Linked DNA regions of Macaca fascicularis. The protein of the gene in region 4 interacts with the protein of the main gene of each other region in a pairwise test. Links are inferred from orthologs where the notes say so. Each region holds a gene or a part of one and is shown on either strand. Other genes may lie near its edges. The genes, in order: YWHAB, ERCC6L, UTP14A, HTT, MAGEB18, AP2A2 and JAKMIP1.

The links.
Region 1: the proteins of HTT (region 4) and YWHAB interact in binary tests that used the Homo sapiens proteins (3 or more experiments, as listed by UniProt). The link is inferred for Macaca fascicularis from reciprocal best matches to the Homo sapiens genes HTT and YWHAB.
Region 2: the proteins of HTT (region 4) and ERCC6L interact in binary tests that used the Homo sapiens proteins (3 or more experiments, as listed by UniProt). The link is inferred for Macaca fascicularis from reciprocal best matches to the Homo sapiens genes HTT and ERCC6L.
Region 3: the proteins of HTT (region 4) and UTP14A interact in binary tests that used the Homo sapiens proteins (3 or more experiments, as listed by UniProt). The link is inferred for Macaca fascicularis from reciprocal best matches to the Homo sapiens genes HTT and UTP14A.
Region 5: the proteins of HTT (region 4) and MAGEB18 interact in binary tests that used the Homo sapiens proteins (3 or more experiments, as listed by UniProt). The link is inferred for Macaca fascicularis from reciprocal best matches to the Homo sapiens genes HTT and MAGEB18.
Region 6: the proteins of HTT (region 4) and AP2A2 interact in a two-hybrid assay, tested with the Homo sapiens proteins (2 studies listed by BioGRID and IntAct). The link is inferred for Macaca fascicularis from reciprocal best matches to the Homo sapiens genes HTT and AP2A2.
Region 7: the proteins of HTT (region 4) and JAKMIP1 interact in binary tests that used the Homo sapiens proteins (3 or more experiments, as listed by UniProt). The link is inferred for Macaca fascicularis from reciprocal best matches to the Homo sapiens genes HTT and JAKMIP1.

Annotation. Positions count from the first base shown.
Region 1 is NC_088384.1:100,980,357-100,984,991, forward strand, and holds the start of YWHAB (14-3-3 protein beta/alpha), read left to right. Parts: upstream 1-1,653; 5' UTR 1,654-1,826; exon of another isoform or gene 1,827-2,265; intron 2,266-3,596; 5' UTR 3,597-3,691; intron 3,692-4,635. UniProt on the Homo sapiens protein: Adapter protein implicated in the regulation of a large spectrum of both general and specialized signaling pathways. Binds to a large number of partners, usually by recognition of a phosphoserine or phosphothreonine motif.
Region 2 is NC_088395.1:79,022,153-79,026,604, forward strand, and holds the start of ERCC6L (DNA excision repair protein ERCC-6-like), read right to left. Parts: upstream 2,895-4,452; 5' UTR 2,883-2,894; coding exon 2,815-2,882; exon of another isoform or gene 1,806-2,814; intron 1-1,805. UniProt on the Homo sapiens protein: DNA helicase that acts as a tension sensor that associates with catenated DNA which is stretched under tension until it is resolved during anaphase. Functions as ATP-dependent DNA translocase. Can promote Holliday junction branch migration (in vitro).
Region 3 is NC_088395.1:136,173,352-136,177,850, reverse strand, and holds the start of UTP14A (U3 small nucleolar RNA-associated protein 14 homolog A), read right to left. Parts: upstream 3,101-4,499; 5' UTR 3,049-3,100; coding exon 3,023-3,048; intron 1,566-3,022; coding exon 1,490-1,565; intron 1-1,489. UniProt on the Homo sapiens protein: May be required for ribosome biogenesis.
Region 4 is NC_088379.1:3,422,443-3,426,303, reverse strand, and holds part of HTT (huntingtin), read right to left. Parts: intron 3,230-3,861; coding exon 3,050-3,229; intron 2,919-3,049; coding exon 2,742-2,918; intron 2,449-2,741; coding exon 2,372-2,448; intron 1,009-2,371; coding exon 870-1,008; intron 1-869.
Region 5 is NC_088395.1:26,116,323-26,120,649, reverse strand, and holds MAGEB18 (melanoma-associated antigen B18), read right to left. Parts: upstream 3,125-4,327; 5' UTR 3,000-3,124; intron 2,584-2,999; 5' UTR 2,522-2,583; coding exon 1,487-2,521; 3' UTR 1,479-1,486; intron 1,324-1,478; 3' UTR 760-1,323; downstream 1-759. UniProt on the Homo sapiens protein: May enhance ubiquitin ligase activity of RING-type zinc finger-containing E3 ubiquitin-protein ligases. Proposed to act through recruitment and/or stabilization of the Ubl-conjugating enzyme (E2) at the E3:substrate complex.
Region 6 is NC_088388.1:914,159-918,019, forward strand, and holds part of AP2A2 (AP-2 complex subunit alpha-2), read left to right. Parts: intron 1-247; coding exon 248-371; intron 372-1,570; coding exon 1,571-1,687; intron 1,688-1,798; coding exon 1,799-1,868; intron 1,869-2,198; coding exon 2,199-2,333; intron 2,334-2,935; coding exon 2,936-3,013; 3' UTR 3,014-3,861. UniProt on the Homo sapiens protein: Component of the adaptor protein complex 2 (AP-2). Adaptor protein complexes function in protein transport via transport vesicles in different membrane traffic pathways.
Region 7 is NC_088379.1:6,896,110-6,900,424, reverse strand, and holds the start of JAKMIP1 (janus kinase and microtubule-interacting protein 1), read right to left. Parts: upstream 3,127-4,315; 5' UTR 2,832-3,126; intron 1-2,831. UniProt on the Homo sapiens protein: Associates with microtubules and may play a role in the microtubule-dependent transport of the GABA-B receptor. May play a role in JAK1 signaling and regulate microtubule cytoskeleton rearrangements.

The DNA.
Region 1 (4,635 bases), on a different chromosome or scaffold from region 4:
TAAAGGATAAGGGCAGCTTTTGGAGAACGCTGATTGTCTCAAGGAACTTACATATTGTCATCTAGGTCTGAGTGCACACTAAATAATTTAAGCAAGAACAGGACACGATTAGAATGGTATTTTTAAAAAGATCACTTGGCAGTTGACGGGCGAGGCTGAGAGTAAAACAGTGAATTAGAAGTCTGTCATTTAGCTAAGTAAGGGTAAAGGCAAGACGGCAAAGGCCTATTTACTTGGCTCTTTCTCCTACCCGACTGCAAACTCCAAGACAGCAGGGCCCCATCTGCCTTGTTCATTGCTGTGTCTCCAGCACTAAGCAAAAAGTCTGTTCCACATTTGTTGAAAGAATAAATGAACAGGAGAGAGGGAAGGCGAGAGGCATTTTGAAGGACTGAGTTTAAAAATCAACTACCTTGAAGCCGGGCAAGGTGGCTCATGCCTGTAACTGTAATCCCAGCACTTCGAGAGGCTGAGGCGGGTGGATCACCTGAGGTCAGGAGTTTGAGACCAGCCTTGCCAATACGGCGAAGCCCCGTGTCTACTAAAAATACAAAAATGAACCGGGAGTGGTGGCATGCCCCTGTTATCCCAGCAACTCAGGAGGCTGAGGCAGGAGAATTGCTTGAACCTGGGAGGCACAGACTGCAGTGAGCCAAGACTGTGACACTACCTGGGCGACAGAGAGAGACTCTGTCTCAAAAACAGAAAACAAAACAAAACAAAATCAACTACCTTGAGAGGAGTAGAATGTCGGTAATTGTGAGAGCAGTCATGAGGGGAGGGGAGCCATGGAAGCCTGTTTCCTTCCCTGAACTTCCTCAAGGAGGGGGCATCTTAAAGACGGAATCATCTACACAGATTTTTGTGGGGTTTTCTTGGAGACAGGGTCTCACTCTGTCGCCCAGGTTGGAGTGCAGTGTCATGACCATAGCTCACTGCAGCCTACAACTCCTGGCCTCAAGCAATCCTCTCACCTCAGCTTCCAAAAGTGCTGAGACTACAGGCGCGAGCCACCGCGCTCGGCCCTACACAGGTTTTTGAAAAAGACCTTTGTGCGTTGGATTCCTGGCACTTCCAAGTGGCCTCTTCAGTCTACCAAAGAAGGAAAAAGTAAGTACTCCGAAGGATTGAAAGGAGGATTAAGGGAACATTGAGGGATGAGCAATTTCTGTTCTTCCCTACCTCCACTATTCCCAAAGCACACAGCAAGAGGACTGACATCGGCTTCCGACACCGTGAGGATTACTTTCTGGGTGGAGGGGGGACTGCTAAACCTCGAGTCTCCGTACCTGGCCCTGGCGCGTTTCCAGTCTGAGCAGAAAAGGAAACCCCCACCCAGACCTCACTCCTAGTCCTCCGGGTGCCTTTACAGCCCGTATCTTGACCACCCCCAGCTCCGCCCTCTCTCCTCCCACCTCCTTTTCCCGCTCCCCCGCCCCATTTCCTTCTTCTCCGCCCACCTCCTCCTGGGTCCCTCCCCCGGCCATGCGCCCTGCCCCGGCCGCGGCAACCCTGCCCTTCGTTCTTCTTCCTCCTCCCTTCCGTCAGCGCCCCTCCCGTGGGGCCGCGGCAACCCCGTGCCTCGCTTGCCCAATGAGAACACGGCGTGGGGCGGGGCGCGGCCAGGACCGGAGCGGAAGTGGTGACCGGAGCGGAAGTGGAGCTGCCGCCACCGCCGCCGCCGATTCCGGAGCCGGGGTAGTCGCCGCCGCTGCAGCCACTGCAGGCACCGCTTCCGCTGCCTGAGGAGTGGACTTGGGAAGGAAGAGGTCATCTCGCTTGGAGCTTCGCTCGGAAGGGTCTTTGTTCCCTGCAGCCCTCCCACGGTGAGTGCGGCGCGGGGTCCGACCGGGGCCCCCGGGGGCCCAAATTCGAAGCCCCTCTTTGGCAGCTGCGACGACGGCGGCCCAGCGGGTGGGCCCCGGGGGATAGCGGTGCGCTGCCTCTTCCGCTTCGCGCGGCCGCCGGCGGCGAGGCCAGGCCTCGCAGCGGCCCCTCCCTGTTTCCGGGGCCGGGCCCTTTACCTCTTGGAGAGGCCCGGGCCTCCCTCGCCGCCTAAGGTCCTGCCGGCCGGGCGGGGTGCAACTCTGTGCTGCACCGTGAGGGACAGCGGAGCCGAGGGTCCCGGACTCTCCCTCACTATCTGATTCGGTCCCTCACGCGACCCCTCCCTGCGTCTTGGTCGGCAAGAACCGTCCTCTTCAGCCCAGTCACCTCTGCTCCGTGCTTTCCGGTTTCCAGAAATTAAAATTTAATCAAACGCGGGTGAGTTTTCTAGCCCCAGTCCCCCTGTTTGACTCCTCCTGGATGAGTAAGGGGTTTAACCTTGGGAGACAGCAGTGGGGGAACCCCCTCCCATTTTGCAGTAAAACCATTTCATCATCCTTAACTGGTTATGGAGCCTGGCAGGACCCAAGATTCCCTAGGAAGGGAATTGGGTTTGAATCAAGGAAATGTGTTTGTTGGAGCCGGTTACTGAGTCAGGCCGGATCCCCAGGAAAAAATATCGGGATGAGAATCGGAATATTTTCCCACAGTATTTACCGTCATTTAATGCCAAATTCTTTTGTGTCTTTACCCCAAATTCCCCCTATTGTGTGTTAGCACGTTTTTCGGTCTGAAATTTGCCCGGTGGCTTCCTGGTCGGGGGGTGGGGAGCGGAGGGAAGAAGAGGTGGGAAGGTGAGTGCATCTTTGCCGCAAATGGAGAACTCCCATATAATGAGGTTTCCAGAGGTGGCAGCCTTGGTAAGCAATTTGCCAACCTTTCTGTGAAATGCATGTCTCTTGTCGTTGCCTTCATTGCATTTCTCTTTGGTAAGGCTAGATAGCATCAGGTCCTGATTTTGCTTACCCTGTGTGGGAGATGGAATTTGGCAAGATGATGCTATGAACATAAAATCAGCCTGCCACGGAAGCCAAAACAGAAAGGTGAAGCACTTATAAGAATATGAAAATTGTCTGCATTTCTCATTCTGTCAGTTCATATGAAGCCAGACACAGATGCAGTTTATGGAGCTGGACCCTGCAGCTTTTGCATTTTCATGTTGGAAATTTATATAAGTATTTGTTCTTGGTGAATTTCTTCTTGACTGCTTCCATGGTACCCTATTTCTTACTTAGGGATATCTCATTTGTTTGAGCCCTCATTTTTCTTGGATTCCTGTCCTTGGCAACACGAAGTGTATGAGTGTACAACCTGTCAATCTTATTGGACCTGAGTTAGAAATTTAAGTGTGGCTTTCAAAATGGAAGGCAAATAATCCTGTAGCAACTGCAGAATTATTTTCCTAGCCTGCCCCTCCAATGAGATAAGAAACCATTCACCTATCTTGCAGATGAAGTCTTTATGAGAAATGAGGTGATTTGGCCTAGACTCTACACCTAGTTTTTTTCAAATTGAATATCCTCATTCATCAGTAGCAAATATGGATTGCCAGCCCCTGGAGTATGACTCCTACCCTATAATCTTTTGTACATTTCCCGTCTTGCAGTGCTTGCTATATTGAAGCCATTTTAGAATTGGAGCACTATAGATCAGGGAGGCAGCCTGTATAAAACCAGGCTGAGCAAATTCCCACGATGCTGGTTCTCTAGGCAGAGTCTCCAGAGATTTGGGCCTCTACAAAAAGTGCATTTTGCCCATTTGGCTGTGGATAGAGAAGCAGGAAGAGCACTGGACTTGGAGTCAGGTAAATTTGGTTGAAATCTTGCCTGCAATATTTTCTAGCTTTCTGAATCTTCAGCATGTTAGTCTATGGTTCTTAGTTTTCTTATCTCCAGGGTTATCATTAAGCCTTTTTTATAAACTGTAAATTGTTAAATAGAAGCTTTTGGTTTTTTAATTAGAGTTCACTATTAATGGCTTTTTCTCTCCAGTTAACATCTGATGACACTAAACCCTGCTTTGTACACAAGTTGCTTTCAAAAAATGGTATATTATTATGGGACTTTATTTTGCATGTAGGCAAATCTAGTCTTTCTGAATCATTTTCTCATCTATATAGCGCAAATGGTAATGCAGCTTTGGATAATTTTTGTTGTGACAAGCTCAATGAAAATAAGCATCTGGGATATAGTTGGGGTTCAATAGATGTTTAACCATCTGCATGAATATACACGTGTATAGATTAGACATAGCATATGTGCTATTCATGGACATCTATATAGAATCCATCCATTTGTGATTTATCTGATGAGGTGGTATCAATTAGTCTATAATAATAATTACCACTTACAGTACTTACTGTGTGCTAAGCTTTCTTTTAAGCACTTTAAGCATATTAGCTCAGTCTTCATAACAACCAATGAAAGGTAAGACTATTAGCCCCATTTTACAGATGAGGAAACTAAGGCACTGAGAAGAATAATTTTCCCGAGGTCTCACACACAGCACAAGGTAAGTGCCAGAACCAGGAATGAAACCAGATGATCTGGTTGTAAGGAATGATATTATAGATTTCTACGTGTGGTAGAGACAGCACATGTATATGTTTTGTGTGAACACCATTTAGTCCTTAATTTTTCTTCACACCAATCCTAATAAACGTTTGAATGGGAATACTAGCTATTTTTGAAGATAGATACAGGACGATTTATTGTGGAGCATATACCCATTCTGGCCTGTAGGGATGAT
Region 2 (4,452 bases), on a different chromosome or scaffold from region 4:
GACGGGCGCATCACCAGGTCAGGAGATCGAGACCATCCTGGCTAACACGGTGAAACCCCGTCTCTACTAAAATACAAAAAAAATTAGCTGGGCGAGGTGGCGGGCGCCTGTACTCCCAGCTACTCGGGAGGCTGAGGCAGGAGAATGGCGTGAACCCGGGAGGCGGGGCTTGCAGTGAGCTGAGATCCGGCCATTGCACTCCAGCCTGGGCAACAGAGCTAGACTCCGTCTCAAAAAAAAAAAAAAAAAAAAAATTAGACAAGCTTGGTGGCACACACCTCTGGTATATGTTTACATGTACAGTAAGTCCTCAGTTAACGTGGTCAGTAAGTTCTTGGCAACTGCAACTTTAAGCAAAATGACGCACAGCAGGTCCTTGAATGACACTGGTTCATTCAATATCATTTTGCTGCAACACTGATGAGAAAAAAATTGGTTTTGCTATGTCATTTCACTTAAAGTCAGTTTCCAAGAACCTATGGACAATGTTAAATGAGGACTTACTGTATATACACGCACACACATCTTTGCCCACTCATGTAAGTGTATCTGTAGAAGAAAATACTACAAGTCCTAGCTTCAAAAGTAAAACTATGTATCTTAACTTTTGAATTGACTCATATAGCTCATCACACACCAGCCTGAGAGAATATAAATAAATGCTTACTCACACTATTGACTTTATTAAAATCTGGCATGGTGTTCTTGAATAGCAATTTTATTTTATTTTATTTTTTTATTTTTTTTTTTTGAGAGGGAGTCTGTCTCTGTCGCCCAGGCTGGAGTGCAGTGGCCGGATCTCAGCTCACTGCAAGCTCCGCCTCCCGGGTTCACGCCATTCTCCTGCCTCAGCCTCCCGAGTAGCTGGGACTACAGGCGCCCGCCACCTCGCCCGGCTCGTTTTTTTTTGTATTTTTTAGTAGAGATGGGGTTTCACCGTGTTAGCCAGGATGGTCTTGATCTCCTGACCTCGTGATCCGCCCGTCTCGGCCTCCCAAAGTGCTGGGATTACAGGCTTGAGCCACCGCGCCCGGCCTTGAATAGCAATTTTAAATACACATTCCCTAAGATACAGCACTCTGAATTCCAAAGTGTACACTCAGTTATAAAGTGCACAAAAATTCACAAAAAGGCTGCCTATTACAACAAAAGTAAAACGGCAAACAATTGGAAAAATCTAAATGAAAGGCCTGGCATGGTGGCTCACGTCTGTAATCTCAACCCTTTGGGAGGCTGAGGCAGGAGGACTGCTTGAACTCAGGAGTTCGAGACCAGCCTGGACAACATGGCAAGACCCTGTCTCTACTAAAAATACGAAAAAATACTTTGGGAGGCCGAGGCAGGTGGATCACGAGGTCAGGAGATCGAGACCATCCTGGCTAACACGGTGAAACCCCATCTCTACTAAAAATACAAAAAAATTAGCTGGGTGTGGTGGCGGGCACCTGTAGTATCTGCTACTCGGGAGGCTGAGGCAGGAGAATGGTGTGAACCCGGGAGGCAGAGCTTGCAGTGAGCTGAGATCGTGCCACTGCACTCCAGCCTGGGTGACAGAGCGAGACTCTGTCTCAAAAAAAATAAAATAAAATAGTTGGGTGTGGTGGTGTGCACCTGTGGTCCCAGCTACTAGAGATGCTGAGGTGGGAAGATCCCTTGAGCCCCGGGGGATGGAAGTTGCAGTGAACTGAGTTAGAGATCGAGCCACTGCACTCCAGCCTGGGTGACAGAGCCAGACCCTGTCTCTAAAAAAACATATAAAACAACAATAATAAGATAATAAATTGACTGGGCATGGTGGCACCCACCTGAAGTCCCAGCTACTAGGGAGGCTGGGGCAGAAGGACTGCTTGAGCCCAGGAGTTCCAGGCTGCAGTGAACTATGATCAGGCCACAGAATTCCAGTCTAGGCGACAGAGCAAGACCCTGTCTAAAAAAAATTAAAGCAGTAAAATCCACAGAGACAGAATAATGGTTGCTAGGGGCTGAAGGGAGGGGGAAATGGGGAGTTGTTTAATGGGAGTAGTTTCAGTTTTGCCACATAAGAAAAGTTCTGGAGATGACAGACAGTTGCACAACAATATGAATGTAGTCAACACTACCGAACTGTACATTTAAAAATGATTAAGATGATAAACTTTATTTTTCATGAAACCCAGTTTCTGCACAAAAAGATAAATTTTATGTTATGCGTACTTTACCACAATTTAAGAAAAAATTTAAATGCTCATCCCAACATTACCACGCCCCCCACCCTTAGCCAACTGGTGAATGCTAACTTATTTTTCAACGCCTAGCTCAAATGTCTCCTCTTGCCATGCCATCCCTTAGCTGACCACCCTTGTAGTTGGCCATCCCCTCTTTTATGCCAACACTATGCCCTGCACATACATTATACCTCTTACAACACTTATCAAACCTAGTAATTATTGCTTTACAAATCCGTTTCCACCACTAGATTACAAACAACTTGGGGGCGGGGACCTTGTTTTACTCATCTCTGTATCCCCTAGGCTTGGGGCTTGATAAGCTGAAAAGAATCAATAAGGGCTTGATTAATTAAGGTTCTGGCTCTTACGGAGCTCATACTGCAGGGTCATCTGCCCAAAAGAAAAGGCATCGGGGTCTCCTGAGGTTTTAGAAATCTGGTCAAACATCCAGAGCTGACTCCCACACCCTACTGCGAGAAGAGTGCGAGAGCGCGCCTCAAAAGGCTGCGCCTCAACAGTTCGGGTCACCAGGGGGATCTGGGGGCCACCCCCACCTCCACCCTGGGCCAGGTCGGTTAGCTAGACCCGCCCAGCGGCCCCGACATACCTTAGGTAATGAGCAGCCTGCTCTGGGCTCAAGGCCTCGGCTTCCGGAAACCTACGGGACGCCTCCATGACCCTCGGACTGGGTTCCAGTTACCCCGGTGGGAGCTTGGAGCTTGAATTTCGCGCACTCCCGCCCCGCGCATGCTCTGTGCGCCTGTGGCGAGGGACACAGCCAACCGTCGGCCTCGCGGCCGGCCAATCCGCGACCACGCGCTGCGACGCCACCGCCTGAGCCCCGCCCATGAGGGTAGGCGCCTGCGCCTACGCGCGCCTGGAGGTAGGAAGTGACGTCTGCCTTCGAGACACGGAGTGTGCTGCGTCACTCTGTAGTCCCTTGCGTTTCAACCCAGTTCAAACCATGCTGCGGCCAATTCGTTCGCGCATGCGTGTGCTATCATTGTGAGTGGAGGAGGCTGCCCGATATGATCCCAGTCGTTGTGGCGACCCTTGGAGATCTCCAACGCCTGCATCCCCCAGTCAACCCCTGCCCCACATCCAGAGATACCTTCCCTTCCTTGATCGCCAGTACCTGGCACTGAACGTGCTTTGAATCCAAACACCCTGGGAGGCGTAGTCCCTGTGATTTAAACTCACATTGAAGAAGGCGCGGTGGTTCACGCCTGTAATTCCAGCACTTTGGGAGGCCGGGGCGGGCGGATCATTTGAGGTCAGGAGTTCAAGACAAACCTAGCTAACATGGTGAAAACCCGTCTCTACTAAAAATACAAAAAATTAGCCAGGCGTGGTGGCAGGCGCCCGCAGTCCCAGTCAGGTGGCTGAGGCACGAGAATCGCTTGGACCCAGCAGGTGGAGGTTGCAGTGAGTCGCGATTGCACCACTGCACTCCAGCCTGGGTGGCAAAGCAAGACTCTGTCTCAAAAATAAAAATAAAAAAATTTTAAAAAGTCTGGGTGCGGTGCCTCACACCTGTAATCCTAGCCTTTGGGGAGGCTAAGGTGGGAGGATCACTTGCACTCAGGAGTTCGAGACCAGCCTGGGCAACATAGTGAGACCCCCCCATCTCTTTTTCAATTTTTTTTTCTTCTCCACAGGGCGTTATGCTGTATTTATTTTTTTAAAAAGAGAGAGAGAAAGAGAGAAGGGTCTTCAAGAATCTCAAACCCGGGAGGTGGAGGCTGCAGTGAGCCAAGATCATGCCACTGCACTCCAGCCTGGGCGACAGAGCAAGACTCCATCTCACAAAAAAATAAAAGAAAATAAAGTTCTTATTTAAGAAATAAGTAGTTAGGTTCACATACTTGGTGTAATAAGAAGAGGACAAAAATAATTCAAAAAAAAAAAAGAAAGAAGTAGTGCTGTGGTCACCATTTCTTCAGAAGCACCAACTAAGATACAGTCATTTTCAAAGGCAGAGCCTAAAAAAAGGCGGAGCCTAGAGCTTAAGGAAATGTGATTAAGTGACTTGCTTGGGTGACACTAAATAGGAGGTTGTGGGCCAACAAAAATTGTCTTTGTTCATATATCGTTAAGAACACAGACATGATTCCTCAAGACACTAATTTAGCATTCAGTATTGGAAAACTCACCTATTGGCCCAGTCATACATCACATGTACAGAGAATTTTAAGCTTTTTATAAAATTCATAGACCGTTATGAGTTAAAAGGAATGTTGGAGGC
Region 3 (4,499 bases), on a different chromosome or scaffold from region 4:
CCTCAGCCTCCTGAGTAGCTGGGACTACAGGCGCCCGCCACTACACCTGGCTAATTTTTTGTATTTTTAGTAGAGATGGGGTTTCACTGTGTTAGCCAGGATGGTCTCGATCTCCTGACCTTGTGATTTGCCTGCCTTGGCCTCCCAAAGTGTTGAGATTACAGGCGTGAGCCACCACGCCCGGCCAAATCTCTTGTTCTTTTGGTCAGTAGAGAACTGGGGAATTGGAAGAGGTCTGGTGTGCAAGCATTCCAGCTCAAACTAAAAGGGAGCTAATGTCATGTGTCTGTCCTAACTTGCTTCTAGACAAAAAGGGCTTAAAATGGTGTTTCTGTATAAAATATATAGTATGATCTAACATGGAAACCCTGACATATAGTGTAAGTCATAGCCAGTTACAAAGTTGGCTTTTTTTTCTTTGAGACAGAGTCTCGCTCTGTTGCCCAGGAAGGAGTGCAGTGGTGTGATCTCAGCTCACTGCAACCTCCACCTCCTGGAAGTGATTCTCTTGCCCCAGCCACTGGAATAGCTAGGATTACAGGCGAGTGCCACCACACCCAACTAATTTTTGTATTTTTAGTAAAGACGGGGTTTCACCATGTTGGCCAGACTGGTCTTGAACTCCTGGCCTCCAGTCATCCACCCGCCTTGGCCTCCCAAAGTGCTGGGATTACAGGTGTGAGTCACCACACCCGGCCTCCAAGTTAAGTTGGCTTTTCCTACGAAGAACACGACAAGCAGAAAAAAATAGACAAAAAAAAACACCCTCCTTGTTATTAAAATAGATGTGTTGTGTGCCCCCAACCCAAGGGAAAAAAAAAGTGTTTTTTTGTAAGGGAAATAAAGAATTGGAATTCTTATAGCATCTGTTGGAGATCCAGCTTAAAATACATATGCATATTTCAGTCAGATAATTAAATAACGCTCTATAGAAATCCAAACTTGGGAAATCATATCATATGAGGACCATGTGTTTCAGTCTTTTTTTTTTTTTTTTTTGAGACGGAGTCTTGCTCTATTGCCCAGACTGGAGTGCAGTGGCTTGATCTTGGCTTACTGCAACCTCCACCTCCTGGGTTCAATAGTAGCTGGGATTATAGGCACACACCACCACACCCAGCTAATTTTTGTATTTTTAGTAGACACAGGGTTTTGCCGTGTTGGCCAGGCTGGTCTTGAACTCCTGACCTCAGGTTATCTCCCTGCCTTAGCCTCCCAAAGTGCTGGGATTACAGGCGTGAGCCACCAGCCGGGCCTGTTTTCGTTGGTTTTATAAATTATACTTATGCAACTTGCGGGTAGTGAGTGTAACTTAGTTTCCAAATCCTTATAGCACTTAATATGATACAGTAACTTATATATGAAACACTAACCATTTGTAATTAATTTGAGAGACCTGAACAAATACATAGAATATTGTCACACCTTTCCATTCCAGGAATGTGCTCTCTACCCTAATTTTGAAGGCAGTTTAGCAATTGTCACCCACCTCATCTTCACTCCCACTCAAGAGGTAGTCTTTTGGCAAATCTACTAGTTCTTCCTGTTGGCTCAAAGCCAGAAGGCTGTTAAAAGAGGCAACAAAGAAATGTGAATGCAATATACCCATGTAACAAACCTGTATATGTATCCCTTAATTATAATAAAAGTTGAAATTTAATAGAGAAATATTGTTATTTGAAGCAATGTCTAATCTATTAAAACAATCTCGTAAACATTGTAACTTCAACACAGAATAGCCCTATCCCTCAGAAGATATATAAAGCAGCATGAACGCCTTTGAAAACTTGTCAAGACGTGAAATTTAGACTGATGTCAGGCATCACCTCCAGGAATGATGCCTGACTCAAAACTGCATGTAAAAGAGCTAACACTTTTCAGTGATTGGCACAACATTTCCTATGACCTATGGGAAGCTGTAAAAATGTCAGACCCTAGAATAATATGGCCAAAGACGCTGTTGCTAGCCCTGGAGGCAAGGCAGTTTCACGATTAATATTTCTAAGCATCCTCCACATGTTTGACTCTTTGATAGGCAGCCTGATCAAAAGGCAGCCTGATCAAAAGTGTCATCTTGGCCGGGCGCGGTGGCTCAAGCCTGTAATCCCAGCACTTTGGGAGGCCGAGACGGGCGGATCACGAGGTCAGGAGATCAAGACCATCCTGGCTAACACGGTGAAACCCCGTCTCTACTAAAAAGTACAAAAAACTAGCCGGGCGAGGTGGCGGCGCCTGTAGTCCCAGCTACTCGGGAGGCTGAGGCAGGAGAATGGCGCAAACCCGGGAGGCGGAGCTTGCAGTGAGCTGAGATCTGGCCACTGCACCCCAGCCTGGGCGACAGAGCGAGACTCCGTCTCAAAAAAAAAAAAAAAAAAAAAAAAAAAAAAAAAAAAGTGTCATCTTGATCACTTGTTCCCAGGAATGGAGAAACAGGTCGAAAGCAGCTGAGTAAGCCATTTTCCCTGGGGCCTGCTTAGCAAAGTAGGTGCTTAACTAGGGAGACTGGTACCCACAAATTACAAAATTTACCGTTACTTAACAGCATATATTATTAGTATTTGCAAAGCCAACATTCCTAAACGGACTACATTTAGTTCCGGGGGCGGGGAGGGGAGGCACAAAACATCATAGGAGCCAAAACGTGGCGATGACTCCAGTCAGCAAAGCTTTCGAAGATTCGGGGAGTTTATAACGCCTGCACTGCCTGCGCAGAGGATTAAATCGGGCCGCGGCAGAGGCAGAAAAAGGGGTCACGTGACGAGGAATGTGAAACATAGTAAATGAGCTGGGGAGGCAGAAACAGCATCAGGACCAACAGGGATGCGGCTATACAGCTGAGGAGCGGAGTAAGTGAATGAAATTAAAAGGGCTTTAAAGGCTGGATCGCGGAAAACAGGAACAAGTGGCCAGCTCTTGAGGGGAACCACTGCCATCTGTTAAAAGGGGGCGCCCATTTCCCAAAAGCTGGGGAACCCGGCCCCCAACGAGACCCAGAATCCCCACTCCCCTCGTTGCCCTTCACCTCTCTGCAAGCCGGTTCGCAGTCATTTCAGCAGCCAGCTTCTCTCACATGGACCAAGAACGGAAGCCGAAGGAAAGCAATTTCCGTGCCGGCCGCAAAGCAATTTCTGTTTCCGTCAATCGCTCGCGACGTACACGTCAGTTCCGTTGCGTACTAGGCGTGTGAGAAGCAGGAGCCGTGTAGGGAGGGGACTGCGTAAAACGGCGAGGCTGGAGATGAAACGGCTGTCAGCGGGTGGGGCTTTCTTTTCTCCACCCACCCCGTATTTCTCTGGTGCGCCGGTGTCTGTCCTCCTGGTCCCTGGTTTCCACGCGGCCCAGGGTGGGTTAGCTTAGGGCGAAGGTACTGCGCTGTCAGGGACTGAGCCCGCGCCTTCATTCGTCCCTACATAATCCAGAAGGAAAGACTCCAGCGCCCGTCCTTGTGCGACAGCGTCCTGCAAGCCGGCCACCAGCCAGCTCGGGGGTTTATTGAATGCCCATTAAGTGGCCAGATTGTGCCGGGCCCCGGAGATCCGATGGTGAACAAAACAAGTTTCCTTCCATTTAAGGAAAAATATCTTTTGATCCCTTGTAATTGCAGCTCTGTTCTTCATTTCCTGAGTCAAAATATTTTATCCAAGAATGGGCCGTCAGTAGCTACGCTTCCTCACCTCCTATCAACTTTAAAAAAATTATTTTAAACAACTTTTTTTCTCCCATCAACTTTTAAGAATTTATTTATTTTTGAGACAGAGCCTTGCTGTGTCGCTCAGGCTGGAGTGCAATGGCGTGATCTCGGCTCACTGCAACCTCTGCCTCCCAGGTTCAAGCGATTCTCCTGCCTAAGCCTCCGGAGTAGCTAGGATTACTGGCGCCTGCCACCATGCTCGGCTAATATTTGCATTTTTAGTAGAGATGGCATTTTGCTATGTTGGCAAGGCTGGTCTGGAACTCCTGGCCTCAAGTGATTCGCCCGCCTCGGCCTCGCAAAGTGCTGGGATGACAGGCGTGAGCCACTGGGCCCTGCCTAATATATGTGTGTGTATATATATATATATGATGATTGTAGAAAAATAATAGACAAGAACATTCTTTTCATTCTTTTAATCCATTCCCATTTTTGCTTTTGCCCCATTATTCCACAGAAATTGCTCTGGACAAGATCAGCGACACCCAAAGTTGCTAAATAAAATGGATACCTCTCAGTCTTTGGGTTCCTAGAACTTTGTGTGGTATTTAATAACTGTCTGTTCCCTCCCTCCCTCCCTCCCTCCCTCCCTCCCTCCCTCCCTCCCTTCCTTCCTTCCTTCCTTCCTTCCTTCCTTCCTTCCTTCCTTCCTTCCTTCCTTCCTTCCTTTCCCAGAGTTTTGCTCTTGTTGCCAAGGCTGGAGTGCAGTGGCACAATCTCGGCTCACTGAAACCTCCGCCTCCCGGGTTCAAGCGATTCTCCTGCCTCAGCCTCCCGAGTAGCTGGAATTACAGGCGTGCACCACCAC
Region 4 (3,861 bases):
TCAAGGGCACTTCACATCCCTGGAGCTACAGGCCTAGGCCAGTGCTTGGGAACACTGCACTAGGCTAACTGAGAGGGCCGCCGGCCGGCATGTTGTGGCTATACAGCTCACCACACCACAGGTCTTCCCCTTTGGACTTCTGTTACCTACCTGGGTACTCTCACGGCCTCCCCCTTCACCTGGTGAACTTCTAATAGTCCTTCCAAATATAGCTAAACTACTAAGGGTTAGCGGCCCCTTTGCCATCCTCTCCTGGGCTGTCTGCTTTGCTCATCTCTTCCCAGCAACCAGGGCAGGGCAGGGCAGATGCTTAGCAAATAGAGCCTAAGGCGGCAGGACTGAACCTTCGCTTTCTTATACTTGGGCTGCTGGTTTTTGAAATCTAAATTCATATTCATAAGCTGAACTCTCTCCAGGAAAGTAGAGTACCAAGGCTCTACCAAGGCCCCAAGTGGTCCCTAACGGTGAGGTATGAGCAGTGGAGGTGCTGACAACATACCAGTATGGCTGGCAGTGGCGGTGCAACTCACAGGTGGCCAGAAGGTATGAGGCGATGGAGGGAGGCTAAATGCACTGACATGTGCTTGAAGGCCTGTGCAGTCAGGGGCCTGCAGGCCACAATTGACTTTCCCTTGAGTCACCCACTAACGACTCACCTCGCACTCCTACCGAAAGGGTCCCACATCAGCACTGCTTTGCTCCCTCGGACATTGATGGTCCCCCCAGGTCTCTAACCACGGCTTCATTGAGCCGAGCAGAGCGCCAGCACTCCTTGGGTCCACCGCACCTCCTCTGCACTCTCTGTATCTGCCACAGGTGACAGAGGCACTCTGCCCTGTGCCCCGCATGCAGACACGCTGGACACTTACTTTGTCCGGACTCACTGTTTCCAGTGACACGTGCCCGTCCCCGTCCAGCGGGTGGGAAGAGACTGGGGGAGAGGGACTAAGTGAGTCTTGCATGGTGGAGAGACGAAACCTGTCCAGCAGGGAATAGAGCCTCTGGTGTCTAAAATACAAACAAAAATGAAATTACAGTGCAATTTTTTTTTTAGTCTTAGTCTAAACTCTGCACACTAGGATTCTAGAAATATACACCCTAAGGATGCACTATTAGTGGCTTCTTAAAGGAAAATGAAACTTGTTTAAAACTTTTTCTTCGCAGCTATTTTCTCATCAACACTCAAACAGGTCATGATATAAACGCAGGCCCTAGTTTACTTCTAAGGTATCACAGTTTGTACTCCATTAATATTGTCCAGAAATTTCATTTATACTCAAACATTGCAACAGTCCATACATGGTATAAAAGCTAATAAAGGCTTTCTTAATAAACGTAAAACAGATCATCTAAGACTCAAATGCACAAACTCCACTATCAAAATATCCCAGTAAGACAACTGATAGGAATTTATGGTCATTTCAAAATAAAATCACCTCATCTGGCACAAGATATTTATAATCTTTTAATCTCCCTCATCTGGACTGAAGACTAAGTCTAGGGTCAAAAAGTAATAATAGTTTATCTGCCACCATATGCTATGAGAGTGACAACTTTATAATGCAAATTACAAAACAGCTTGGCCCTACAGACCGAAAAATCGCCCCAAACTGTCCACCTAATTGTGCCCAATCCCATTTAAAAACACCATCAACAAGGTACTCTTAAGACTGAAATCAAAGCATGTGTGTGTGTGTTTTCTTTTTTGCAATTTCAGCTCAAAGGACACAGCATGATAATTATATTCTCCTTCTCTGCTGTCTCTCTTTCCCTTTCACACACACAATTTCCGCCCCCACCAAGGGAAGAAAAAAGGTAAAAGTTTAACTTATTTTGCAGTCATGGAAATACACTCACATAGGAGATGTAAGGATTTCTGATAAAGGCTTCTAAAAGACTTTGCAAACACAACTAAGTGATTAAATGCTTTGAAGAGAAAAAATGGCAACGGGATGCAGATGTAAGTCCTGCATGCCAAGGATTCAGTAATGTCTTTCAGATTTGCCAACTCTTGTTTAGCAATTAGATGATATGCTTTGATTTTGCTAAGATAAAGCTGATAACCTATTTTCCCACTCATCACAGGACACTGAATACAGGCATTCTAAATACTACCTCTCAAACAGCCAACAGGAGTGCAAACTGCCTCCACTCATGTCATAGACGTGATCCTGCTGGTTGTCCTTTACTCCATATAAAGTGAGATCTGGTTGTTTTAAAAGTAGGAAGCTTTCTATTATGGCACTTCTGCAGTAAACCCACCTATAACGCACATCAATTTCTTGTCCTGTGAATTTATTCCCGCACAAATCTATATCTTTTATATCCTGGGTTCTCCTAACACAAGGATGACCTGTGTTTCCAGCATTACCTCTGAGCGAGCCCGCTGCTCTGAAGGTATTCCTGGATTCTGTTGAGTTCTTCCATTGGCAACTGGGCCATGCTGCTCTAATAGACAAAAACACATTAGTGTGTTTGTGACACTGAACAACCCAAAATAACCTCATGCTCATTTAAAAAGGATAAACTGATGTGTACAGTTCATCCTAGTAAGGACAGACTAGAAAAAAGTTCAAGAAACAGATCAGACACACGAGGAATGGCAAGTTTGCAGATATTTCCATGTTTCTATTGGTGACCGTGTCAAGACCACACCTATGGAGGAAAAAGGCAGCCACCTGTTTTGCTTGGCCTGCTAAATTTTCAATATAAATCAATATCAGGGTTTCTTTTCCCAATACCTGTAAATTTGCAGCCAGAAGCATTTCTACCCGGCGACAAGCAAGGATGTCGACCATGCGAGCCAGCACACGGAAAGGGGTGCACAGCAGCCTGTCCACATACAACGTGAGCACAGCTCCCGACTGGCTGAGATGGATCCCCTCCAAGCACTGAAGAGTTTTCTTCAGAGTGGTTGGCTAACAGCGAGAAGGAAAAGAACAAAAGATGACTATTTTGCCAATCAGAAATTAATGTTAAAAATTTCAATACTCCATTTTTAAGGCAGAGAAAACTGCAACTGGCAATTGTTGGCAGGATGAAAACGTACAGTTGAAAGGTTTTCACAACGAGACTGAATTGCCTGGATGAAGAGGCCGCTGGCAGCGGAGTTCCGATGAACAGCACTGATGAAGTCCTGTACTGGAGGCTCGTGGGAAAGGCTGATCAGATCTTGAATGTGATTTACAATGAGCCACGTTAAGTGCTCGGAGTCATGGAGGTTCTGACACTAAGGAAAAATATGATGAGAGATTCACTTTCAAGTACACAAGAAGAGACCAGGTATTAATCCATAGAAAGGCCAGAAAGCGTAAGAAGGAGAAAACACATCTCAAATATAAACCTCACTAAAAAATATACAGTGTATGAGCACAAATAATTGAGGAGGCAGGAAACTGGATTTACCAAGGCCGTCACCTCCAACCACGCACTGCAGCAGAGGCTGTGTGAAGTCAGGCCCCCCTGGGGAAGTAGGGGTACAGCAGTCCAGCTCTCAGAGACACTAACAAATGGCCAAGGGTCAAAGGACAAAGGCAGGCCTCAGAGATCCATGGGCAGGAGGGGCAGCGTGGTACTGCGACGCTCCCATCCACAGCACTGCCTGCCCCCTCCCGGGCTTCGAGCTGGCCAAGCCAGTGGGGTTCTCCAATTACTCTTTTTCCAATTTTGTGATAGTTCAGTGGGAAAAAAAAATCCTCTATCACTGCCACGGTCTTGACAGAATTGTTTAATCCAAAATATGAATGGATTCCACATATCAAATACATCTTAAGTGTTGATACATTTAAGATTTATAAGAAAATAAAAAAATATATATTTTTAAACACGCAGAGCCTTTTCATCTTGATTCATAATCCTAGG
Region 5 (4,327 bases), on a different chromosome or scaffold from region 4:
GAGCCATGATTGCACCACTGTGCTCCAGCCTGGGAAAAAGAACCAGACCCTGTCTCAAAAATATGTCCTTTTAAATACTAGGATCTGGCTCTCTCAGTTCAGAGCAAAGGAGCCAACACAGTAGCTTTTCAGCATCGCACATCAAGGCAGTTTCACCATTATTTCTCAAAAATTCCCTGGGGAGGCTGTACATAAAATAACTAGATTATGCTATGTGTTCAACTGAATGTGAACAAGAGCACAGGACACTATCCACTTCTGCTCCAAGAGGTTTTCTTCTGCTTTATTGATGTCACCAAGGTAACTCTTAAGTGGAGGTTTCCACTCCAGGGTTTTGTCCTTCAACAATGAGACACACCATCTGAGTGCCTGGCCTCTGCTCTCCAGTCCCACAGCTTCATGTAGCTCACCACCCAGCTTAAATTAAAAGTATATCCCACTGAGAGACTCATAGTTTCCAAAAGTCTAAAAGGGCCTTTCTTCAGAGAATTTGCACCTTACCATTTTCAGCCAGATACACTCCAGCACTTTTCCCAAACCCCTCTCTAACTCCTTACCTCCTTACTCCCTCTTCTTACTTGTACTTTAGGTCTTAGAAGTATTTCACCATCTTCCATGCATTATTATTGTTCATTAATTGTAAAAGTCTAAGCAGGGCTGGGTGTTTTGTATCCTAGTTTTCCCATTTCTAACAAAATTACTTTCAAAGATCAGATGTTTTATTAATATTGGAGGAATGAATGAGGCAGTAAGCATAGATGCTAGTTCATAAACATTTTATTTTTTCCTACCTTCTTCAGTAAGCTAAGCCAATCCAGGTATGACTCTTTTATCTTTATATAACAGAATAAAATGGATAAAGAAAACCAAGAACTAAAAAGTATTACTTTTTCTCACCTATGTTTTGATCTCCAAAATTTTACTGCTAAATCATTTCACATTTTTTAAGGAAATACCTATTCCAATACTGTGTTTCCTTGTTTTGGCTCATTAAATATGAAAGAAGGTTTCCCAATTTGTTTTACAGAACAATAAAACTCCTACTCTTAAATAGCAATACATGTGTAACCAAAGTCATTAATAAATTTCGATTCTGAAGTAATCTAAAACTTCTATTAAAAGAAACAACATTTGAAATATAACACCAAAAAAAAAAAGAAAGAAAAAGATACAACTCCAAGTTACTATAGAATATTAACACAACATGATATATGCTGTGTTCCCTCCAGACCCACCCTGGCCATTCACTACTTAGAATGTTGATTGCTTTTTTCTTCCACAAAGAAAACAATCTTCTTCAGACTTCAACATTTGAAATGTAACCTAGGGAAAAAAAAAAAGAAGGAAAAGTAAAACTCTACTTATCAATATACAATAGGAACGCAAAGATGATATACGCTTATTTCTTCCAGCCCCACCATGGCCCTCCACTATTAGAATGTTGACAGACCTTTTCGACCAAAAAGTGAAGAACCAACCTCAGATTTCACTTAGCATGGGAGAAGCTGCTAGACGTGGTTCTGGAACGTGCATTTGCCATGGCAGCAGTATGAGCCCTGGCTGCAACTCTGGCTTGGGCTCTCTGTTCCTCATCCCTCAAAGCTTCTTCATAGCAGGATGGGAAGGCACTAGGGACGGTATCATGCATCTTGGCTACAAACTCCAGGACTTTCATCTTGCTAGTTTCAGCGTGAGCTCTTGGACCCCACAGGAATTCATAGCGTGGAGGATCACTGTCGGGCACTTGCTGGTACTCCAGGTACTTTAGCTGCACCAAATCTTTGGTCATGACCTTCCTGGGATCCCCATAGAGGAAGTGCTTCCTATCAGCATATACACCCATCACATTCATAATTTCCCAAACTGCCTCTTCTGGGGCACGGTTGCCATTCATGAAGATCACACCCAGTGCAATCATCAGGAGGCCAGTCTTGGGAATTTTTTCTTCATCACTGGTTGTTTCATCATAGGTGAGGTCTAGTTTGCTGAAAAAGGCATAGTAGTGCCTGATGGGATCCACTTCCTTCAAATCAACACCAAATGCCAGCTCTATGTGCTCAGAGGCTCTCTTGAGGATCTCATTGAAGTGACCCTTATCCTTTCTGATAACAAACTTTATCATATCTCCCTTTGTAATTGGCTCTTTCTTTTCATACTTCTGAAGCAAGAAATGCACCAGCGACACTACTTTCTTGCTTAAGGGATCTTCTTGCCAGCCCTCAGCTTCCCTTGAGGAACCTAGACTTTTCTCGTCTTGGTTGCTGGCACCTTCATTTGAACTGGTGCATGAAACAGGTGCAATAGTATTGGTGGTGGATGGGGCTCCCTGAAGCGCCTCAGGGATGCTAAGTGTCTCAGCAGCAGGCAAATTCTGGGGTCTATCACCAAAGAGAAGATTGGCAGAGGAGGACGACTCTCCTTCTGCCACAGGGGCCTGAGTAGCACCCAGATCCTGATTCTCACAACGAGCCTGGTGGCGTTTCTCACGGGCACGGAGCTTACTTTTCTGACCTCGAGGCATAATTACTCTTGTCAGGGACTACAGACAATAGTGCAGGCAGTTGGGTTGATGAAGAGGTCACCCTAGAAGACGGAGGATAAGATAGTGTTCACAGCCTTGGTAGGGAGATTCTACCTTGGTCTAAGAATGGCCACCTCTGCTGGTTCTCTTGAGGGTATTGCTTTAGGAACCCATAAGGCAGGAGCAGGCTGGGACTGTTCTGTGGGGGTTTATCACATCAGTTCTAACTCAGGATATTAATTTTACTTTAGTCCTTTGAGTCCTCCCTCTGTTGACTTGAGGCTGCCTCGCTTTAGACCATGGCTTCCCATCCCACAGATTCCCAACAGGAAGTAAGGGTATTAGGCCTAACAGCTGCGCTTTGGGACACACACAGTTGACGGTGGGAGCAGGACAGAGCAGAGAAGGATGGGTCTCTATGAGGCCGCCTCTGTTCTGGGAAAAGTGTGTCTCGAAGGTCATAACAAACGATACTCACTTTGACACCTGCCGGATCCTGAAATTTATTTCTCTGGCCACATCTTTCAGACCAAGGCTTCGCCCGTAACAGCTTGATGACGTGGAATATAGGTCAAGAGAAACACTTCCGGCCACGCCCACCTTGCTCTCCCAGCATAACAGCAAATGGTTCTGTGTTCTGGGGGAGGGGCAGTTCTTAAAGAAATACATATATTTCTTTCACTGACTTTGCAGGCACTGGGACTTCTCTCTTTGCTAAGCTGAATCAGTCAGCCTCAGAAAAAGGATCATTTCCCTGAGTTCAGAGTAGGAAGTAAAGTGGAGCGTGAGCCTAGCAGCCATGCCTGGGGCCTCCCAAGATTGACAGTAGGGGCGGGGTCTGTGGGGGTCCCTCTTCTTGGGTAGGTAACGCCCTCAGTCCTCACTCAGTGTCTTATCGTGACTTTTTATAGGTACAGGGCCACTTCTCTGCTGACTTGAGGCCATCAAATAAGGTACTAAATCTGTAAATAAAGATAATTGACATCTGTACAATATTATGTTCACCACGTATAAATATATTGTATTGCTCTACTTAGGCATCCATCTGAGTCTATCAGTAAACTTTTATATTTGCTTTGATAGAGTGTATGTTTTTGTTAATGTTCTTTTTAGGTACATTTTGAATGTTGCTGCTCTTTTGAATGGTATATTTTTCATTACACTTTTTTTTTTATTTTTAAAGCCCTCTCAAATTTGTTGAAATAGATTGTTTTCAGGACGGTACATTAGGAGAAAAATGAGGATGACAAAAGCATCAAAGGATCTTTCATTCAGGCACTAAAAGGAATCCAGAAAAGAACTTCTTAGAGAAAATCTGGAGTAGCTAGGATCTTTCCTTATTTGAAACCATGACTTTCAATTTAATGCTTTGTATATTACTTTTGTTTTGTTTCTACTACACTGGCTGAGTCAGGTTTGGATTTCTGAAAAGCTTTACTTCCGCCCCTCCCGTAAGATCCTAATCCAGTTCACAGTGAATTTCAGTGACTTAAAGCCTTGAGGTAGCACAAATGTTTTTTATAAGATTCCTTGAGGCTTCTTTTTTTTAACCTTTATTTTAAGTACAGAAGTATATGTGCAGGTTTGTTATATAGGTAAACTCGTGTCATGGGGGTTTGTTGTACAGATTATTTTATCACCCAGGTATTAAGCCTAGTACCTATTAGTTATTTTTCCTGACCCTCTCCTTCCTCCCACCTTCCACTTTCTAAAAGGCCCCAGTGTCTATTGTTCCCCTATATGTGTCCATGTGTTCCCATCATTTAGCTCCCACTTATAAGTGAGAACATGTGGTATTTGGTTTTC
Region 6 (3,861 bases), on a different chromosome or scaffold from region 4:
GTGTATAGTCTAAGCGACTTTTTAAAATGGAGGAGCCGTTTTGGAAGCGTGAGAAGCAAACAGTGTTTTGAGGATTGTCTGGGTGGAAAGGCAGGACCGGGTGGTGTGGCCGCCCCTTGACCTGTAGCTGGTGGTCCTGGAGCGTGGTGAGTGTGCTCGCCTCCACGGGTCCTGCTGGGGCTCTAGCCCAGCCCGTTTCCGCTTCTGCCGCTGGGGCTTGCTTGGCTGGATTCCTTAACGCACACACACCTGAACCTGCAGACCAAGCCCGTGGACCCGACTGTGGAGGGGGGTGCGCAGGTGCAGCAGGTGGTCAACATAGAGTGCGTGTCTGACTTCACGGAGGCGCCAGTCCTCAACATTCAGTTCAGGTAAGAGCCATCTGTGCGCCCCGGGCCAAAGATTGTGTGGGCGCCTGAGCTGTGTGCCTGGGCTCCATGACTGTGCCCCCATGTCCTTCCTGAGGGGACCCAGGGCATGTGGGTACTCATGGTGCATGGATGCGACCTGAGCTGTTGCTGCCCTCAGCTCTGCAGAGCGCAGGAAACAAGGGGAGGTGAAGCCCTGGGCTGTGGGATGGCAGGTGGCAGCTCCCACATGGGGCCTTGCTAGGATCTTTCTGGGCACAACGGGGCCTACCTCATGGGGTAGCAGACAGCCAGGGCCACATGCCACCTGCCCGGCTTGGTACCAGACAACCGCTGCGAGGTGAAGGCAGCTGGCTTCCTTCGGACCCTGGCCTGAGGGGTGTGTTTTTTGCACAGTTGGACTCAGATCATACCACTTTGCTTATTTTTTAAAAGCAGGAGATTTTCCTGTTGCAACTGTTGCTTACTCTCACTTTTCAGTGGCTACAATAGCGTGTACACGGTCAGCGCGTACCCTGCTGGGTGTCTGCAAGGTTATGAATGTTGAGAAAAGCACACTTTCTAACATTAAAAATACAGAGAACTTAAGGATTGTATACCGTAGAATTTGGGGACATAGACATGCAAATTTTTGTTTCATTCTTTGTGCAAATGCCTTTGCCTTTTTAAAGAAAAAAAAAATCACACTATTTGCACAGACTTGGAGTTCTGAGAAACAGATAGATGGGGAGAAGTGAGGCACAGGGGCGTCCTGCCTGTGTACGCGGCCCTGGCCTATCCTGTCTGTGGGTGACACTGTACACTGAGCCACACATGATCTGAGACTCAAGGCTCGGCTCCCCACGCTCTGGTGGGTGGCGGTAGGTGGGGACGCTTCTCACTCCAGGCTCTTTTCCGGCCCCTGGGGCTCTCAGAGGAGGAGCTGACTGTCCCTCGGCTCTTTCCTGGCCCCTGGGGCTCTCAGAGGAGGAGCTGACTGTCCCTCGGCTCTTTCCTGGCCCCTGGGGCTCTCAGAGGAGGAGCTGACTGTCCCTCGGCTCTTTCCTGGCCCCTGGGGCTCTCAGAGGAGGAGCTGACTGTCCCTCGGCTCTTTCCTGGCCCCTGGGGCTCTCAGAGGAGGAGCTGACTGTCCCTCGGCTCTTTCCTGGCCCCTGGGGCTCTCAGAGGAGGAGCTGACTGTCTCTTTCTGCTGCTGCTGGCAGGTATGGCGGCACCTTCCAGAACGTGTCTGTGCAGCTGCCCATCACTCTCAACAAATTCTTCCAGCCGACAGAAATGGCTTCTCAGGATTTCTTTCAACGTTGGAAGCAGTTGAGCAAGTGAGAAACCTGTTGTCCTGTAGGGGTCGGGGGTGGGGATGGGGGTCATTTGAACAGATGGGCTTTGGTCTCTGGCCTGGCTGAGAAACTCGCCTTTGCTGTTTCTCACAGTCCACAGCAGGAGGTGCAGAACATCTTCAAAGCAAAGCACCCAATGGACACAGAAGTCACCAAAGCCAAGGTAGGGCATCTGGAGGGACGGCCCCGGGGACACGCTGCCTGCAACCCAGCGCCAGGGTCTGGAGGGACGGCCCCGGGGGACGCGCTGTCCGTGACCCAGCGCCAGGGTCTGGAGGGATGGCCCCGGGGGACCTGCTGCTCAAGACCCAGCACCAGGGTCTGGAGGGACGGCCCTGGGGACACGCTCCCCGCCACCCAGTGCCAGGATCTGGAGGGGTGGCCCCGGGGGACATGCTGCCCGCAACCCAGCGCCGGGGTCTGGAGGGATGGCCCTGGACGTGCTGCCTGTGACCCCGCTCCAGGATCATCATTCTCCTGTTTCTTTGAACAGATCATTGGATTTGGTTCTGCACTTCTTGAAGAAGTTGATCCTAATCCTGCAAATTTCGTGGGAGCTGGAATCATCCACACGAAAACCACCCAGATCGGATGCCTGCTACGCCTGGAGCCGAACCTGCAAGCCCAGGTCAGGCCCTCAGGAAATGGCTGAACACACTTGAGTTGCTTTTTATTCTGGCACAATGTACATGGTGAGATGTGTAGCTCTTTAGAGCAGTTTGGTCAGTTTTGATAGATGTTGTGTGCCCGTTTAACCACCACCCTGTCAATACATGGTTGCATCCCAGTCTCCCCACAGCTGGCCACCTGGAGCATTGTCCCGCCACAGAGCATCCTGGCCCTGGGCGATGGCTCTCCCAGCTGTTCCTCTCTGTCACCGCGTTGTTCCTTCTCGCCACGTCCCATTCTGTCGACAGACACCTGTCTCCGTTTCACTCGGGCGGCACCCGGGAATGCCGCTGCTGCCCAGGGCCTGTGTGTGGTTAGCGCTACAAGAAGCTGTGCCACTTCACACTCCCGCCAGCTACGTACGAGGTGCCAGGCGCTCCCGTGCCAGCCCTCAGTTTTCATGCTGACAGTGTGTGTGGTGCTCAGGCCTCTGCCGAGCTGTGGGTGCCTCCAGAGAGCGGTCCCTGGGCGTGGCCCACAGGGTTCTGCATGGCGGGTCCTGGACCCGAGGGCTGTGTGAGCCTTGGCATGCCCGCTGACCCGCTGCGCTCTCCGTTTCAGATGTACCGGCTCACGCTGCGGACGAGTAAGGAAGCCGTTTCTCAGAGATTATGTGAATTGCTGTCCGCGCAGTTTTAGTCTTGAGGATGGAAGACCAGGCCCGTGTGTCTTGCGTTGTCTTCGTCTGTGCTGTTTGTCTTCGTGGCCGTCCTGCAGATGAGCACCCCCGCTGCCCCAGACCTCTCCCCTTTGGGCTGGACAGGAACACACGTGTGTGGCTCAGGAAGAAAAGCTCAGCCTGGACTGCGGCAGCCGCGGCAGAAGGTGGATCTTGGGATCAGTTTTTATAAAAATCAAGACAGTTCTGTGGTTCAATCTACAAATTAAAGGGAAATTAGAAGTTGGCGTGAACGTGGCGTTTGTGGGAGTGTCACTGAGATGGCCCGTGCTGCCGCCCACCCCGCCTCGGAGCCTCTGGGAGCAGCAGTGCCGCCGCGTGTGGCGTGGGCTGAGCCTTGGTGTGTGGCTGTTCTGGTGGCTGCACACCTGGCATCGTCCTGGGCCCTTGGGAGGAGCACGGCCGCCCCTGGTTTTGCTGCAGTCCCAGCTGGACAGTTTTCCCAGGCAGGATTTTAATCTGGACTTCAGAAGCATTTGTATTTGTGATGACTTCTGGCCAGACCACGTGTCCTGGCTGGATGTAATTATTTTCCCAGCTCCTGTTCGTGGAGGGTGTCTGTTTTGCTCCTGCAGTCCCCGAGGCCTTAGATGTGCAGCCAGGGAAGGAGCGTCCTGCTGGCCCCGCGGGGCCCCCAGGACTCCGGGGTAAAGCGTGGGCTGGTGGCTCAGACTCAGGTGTGCTCGTCTCTCTCCTGTCAAGAGTGGGTGTCCCCAGGCCACGGTGCAGGCTTGAATGCTTCCACTGGCCCCGTCCAGTCATCCCTGGAGGGGCTGTGGAGGAGGGAAGCCTTTGTGTCGTCAGGAAG
Region 7 (4,315 bases), about 3.5 Mb from region 4:
CCTCTGATCCCCACATCAACCTAGCCAAAGAGATACCACTGCCCCCTTTTATACAGGAAACGGAGGCTCAGAGAGGTTAATCCTCTTACCCAAGATCACACAAGGATAAGGGATAAAGTATAAGCGAGTCCAACTTCAGAAGCCCTGCAGGTTGATCCCATTGCCACTATGGGGAGAGGAGTGACCCAGGAGAACTGGGACAAACCGCAGTCATCCTCAGACTCCCCAAGGGAAGCCCCCATTTAGTTAGAAAGCCCAGCAGGGAGGCACTTGCCCAATCCCAGCTAAGTGAGGCAGGGCCTGAATGGGAACCCTGGCAGTCTGGCTCAGAGCCTGAAGAGATGCAAGGTCCCACCCTCGAGGAGTTAAACAGAGAGCCACAGCCTGCAGTGGCAACTGCTGCTGCCTTATGGACTAGAAATTGTTCCCTCTGCCACTTGTCCCACAGCCCAGTCCACCATTACACACCAAGAGAGTGGGGCCACGGTCCTGCCACTTCCTCAGGCAGCCTTCCTGGCTGGGCCAAGGCAGGGGCCTGTCCCCCTCTCCCTGCACATGGCTCTCTGACAGCACGGGCAGTGTCTGTGTGGCCATCTCCCTAGGAAAACAGAGCCCCGACCAAAGTGGGACCATCTCTCAGGTGACCTCACTGTGTCCCGTGTCCCGTGTCCCCAGTCTCTAGTGGGCAAGATCTGCTTAAGGAAAAACTATACAAACAAATATCACACTGGACGTGTATGAAAAGTTCTGAGAACACAATGAGAGAACCACACAATCTTTCCGGTAGAGTCTTGGAAAATCACAGTGATGGAACCTAAGAGCTGGACTTTATCATGAATCGTTCTCCAGATACACAAGGGAGGGGAGCATTGTTTTAGAGAGGGGGGTGAAAAAAAAGCATGTGGGGAAAAACCCAAGTGTGAAGACATGTCTACACAACACAGAGGCAGCAGGCGTGGCTGAGACATCGTGGCAGGAAGAGGGGAGAGATGGGCCAGGGAAGTCAGGATGGAAGGAACTGGTGAGGTAGTGGGGGCAGTGGGAGTCATAGGTGGTTTGTGAAGGAAGAAAATGCCAGTCATCTCATGCATTGGGTCCACACTGTGATCCTTTGGGAGCGGCTTACTGCAAAAAGACTCCAGGTAAGAATTACCCCAGACTCCAGAGCGGAGATGTTCAGCATTACAAACCGGTACATATCTCAGCAACAAAAATCTTGCAACAAGCCACAAACCTCCACTGTGCGCCGCAACATCAGTCTCTGCAGACCCGCAGATCTCCAGGAGGGTGACAGTGCCCTGCTAGGAAAGGATCCTAATCCCCCCACTCCATCCTCGAATGTGTCCCTCCTCCTTGCCCATCCCAGCTATTGGAGCCACCACCCACAAGCCCAGGTTGCTAGAGGAAGGGCCAACTCCTCCCATGGCCTCGCCCTCCACACCAGCGGGTTGCTTTGACTTAGGGGAGATGTCCCTGCTATGCCCAACATTCACTGTGGGTGGAGCCCTGGGAGAGGGGCTGAGGCTGCCCCTGTCCTCCTCCCCACCTCCTCCTCTGCTCTGGAAGGCAGAGGCCGTCAGATGGTAACAGCATCCTGGGACAGCTCCGCGGTCCAGGAAAGCTCAGGAGGGGCAAGGGGATCTCCCTGACCTTGGTCTACAAGGAGCTGGCCAGCCGAAGTTAGGGCGTTCCCGGAGAGAGCACAACACGGGCAAAGGCCAAGGACAGTGTGCCTGCGAGTGTGCGCAGATGGGGCGAGCGGCGGAGGAGGGCTGGCGGTTAGATACAGTATCGCTGGAGCTCAGAGAGCCGGGCAGAGGCTGGCGGAGAGCCGAGGTTGGCCCAGCCTTCAGGAGACCGGCGAGCTGGGGTGTGTGGGAGCGGGATGCTTCTAAGGCGAAAAGAAGAGCCAGCCTCGTAAGCGGCCTCTATCTGGGCTGCCCTGGCCGGATCCTCAGGAGCCCACAGCAGGGGGGATGGAGCGAAGGACCGAGGAGCTGGGAGGCGAGGCCGCCGCGCGCGCACTGACGTAGGCCACCGAGGCCGCTGGCCCCGACGCACGGCGCCCGGCAAGGTGTCTGGCACCACCGGAGTCAATCCTTGCGCGCCATCTCCGAGCCCAGCGCGCCCAGGGCGCGCTGGGCCGGCAGGAGGGTGGGTGCCAGCCTTTCTTCCCATCTCTCCAGCCTCCTCCCCGGCGCCCACGTGGGCGGAGCAGCGCGAGGGTGTGCGTGGCAGGGGCCGCGGCGGCGTGTGCCGTGCGTGGGGTGGGGTGCAGGCTGGGCGGCCTCGCCCGCGGGCCCCCCGCCGCCGGGGCGCGGCCCCCAGCTCCATCTTCTTTGCCACCTGGGCGGGGATCTGGGGGACTACGACCTACCCTGCGGAAGACACCGAGGGGACCGGCCGGCCACACCCCCCAGGCCACTCCGGCAGGCACCGGGTGGGTCCCCCCTCCCGCTCCTTGGCTTGGGGGCGGAATCCGGAGAGGAGTGGAAATAGGGGTGGCGTGAAGGAGAGCTGGGGGCTGGGGGCGGAACCGGGAGGGGGTGTTGGGGGAAGCGACGCAGCGGCTGGGAGATTTTGCAAGGGGGTCTGAAGAGGAGTGGGGGATGGGTACGGAAGGGTGGGGGAACGCTGAGGTGGGATGCGAGAGTGGAAGGGGGACCCGAAGGGGGCGCGATGACCGGAGGACGGGGAGATGGACGATGGGGCGGGGCGGCACCGGTCGCCGCGTCCCTCGCCGCCGGGTCCGCCCCTCGGTCGCCGGGTCCACGGGTTCTCTCTGGCCTGCGCGCGCCTCTCCTCCCGCCCCCCGGCGCACCTGTACCCACCTGCTCGGCGCTCAGGCCCGAGCCGGGCAGCAGCAGCGGGCGTAGCGAGCGCAGCCCCGCGCCGCATCCTCCGGCCGCCCCCTCCCCGCTGCGAGCTTACGCCGGTGTCGCCGCCGCCACCGCCTTAAAAAGGACAAAACGGAACAGAAAATGAATGCATGCACAAAAAATCGTAAAAAGCAATTGAGGAGGATGGCAGTCGCGCGCGCGGCTCGGCGGGGCGGGAGTCGAGAGGCCGCGGCACTGGTGGCCGCGATAGGGGCAGGCGGCCGGCGCGTGCCGCACGCGGGTGGCTGCAGCTCCCTTGGTCGCCGGCGCCCGGCTCCGGCACGGCCCCGCCCCTCCCTAGGGAGCCCGTCCGATTGGTCTGTCTTCCTGCCAGTCAGGCAGGAGGGCGAGGCGCCCGCCCCTCCCCGCCCCCGCCCCCGCCCCAGGCAGACTCTGGGAGAGCTTCTGCAGCCGCGAGAGGGGGCGCGGAGCTGCCGGAGCGTGCGCACTAGGCCAGCGGCCGGCCCGGGCGGGGCTGGGGTCCCGGCGCTGAGCGCCCTCAGCCGCGCCGGGCACCCTGGCGCCTCGCTGAGTCGGAGCAACCCCCGGGAGGAGCTTTCAGGCTCTGGTCAAGGCTCGGGCCTCGGGAAGCTGTCCCTACCCTCGGGGGCTCGAGCCTGGCGTGGAGCTTGCAGGTAAAGCGGGGCTGGGGCCGTCCTGGCCGTCAGTGGTCAGGAAGACGCAGCGACCCCGGAGATCCATGTCCCCCTCTGTACGGATGAGAGGTCTGAAGGTCAGAGGTTAAAGCGCACGCTAAAGTCGGCAGAGCCAGCAAGGGGCAGAACTGGACATATGCCAGCCTAGGGAGCTGCCCCCACCAGCCCAGGCTGCCCCCAGCAAAGCCACATCACCAGGTCATAGCCAAATGAACGATGTGCTGTCGAGCTGAGACTTGGGAGGGGCAGGACTCAGCTGGGCAAACATTCATTCAGTGTCATTAGACAAATATTTATTGAGCACCTACTGTGTGCCAGGCAGTCAAGAAGATGTGGGGACACCATAGTGAACAGCAGAGAGGAAGAGGCGCCCACCAGAGCTTACTTTCTAGCAAGGAGAAGGGAGGGAAGAGCACCCAGCAAAGGGAGCAGCGTGGGGGAACACCCTGACTGCAGGGAACGGGACATGTTTGAGAATCTGATAAAAGTGTCTGGGCCACAGAATGATGAGAGGGAGAGTGTGGAAGATGGGGCGTGGGGGCACAGAGGGGCAGCGCTTGCAAGGTCTTGCAGGCTGGGCAGAGTTTGGAGACTGTCTCGCCTGGAAGGTGGTCCCATGGACTATGGTCAGATTGATATTTTTTAAACTGCACCAGTCAGGATAAGCTGTGTTAGCCACAGTAACAACCAAACCCAAATCTCCCTGGTGTGTCTTGCTACATGGTACATCCTTCCTCTGTCAGTGGGGCTCTGTTCATCGGAGTGGTGGCTCCCAGCCGA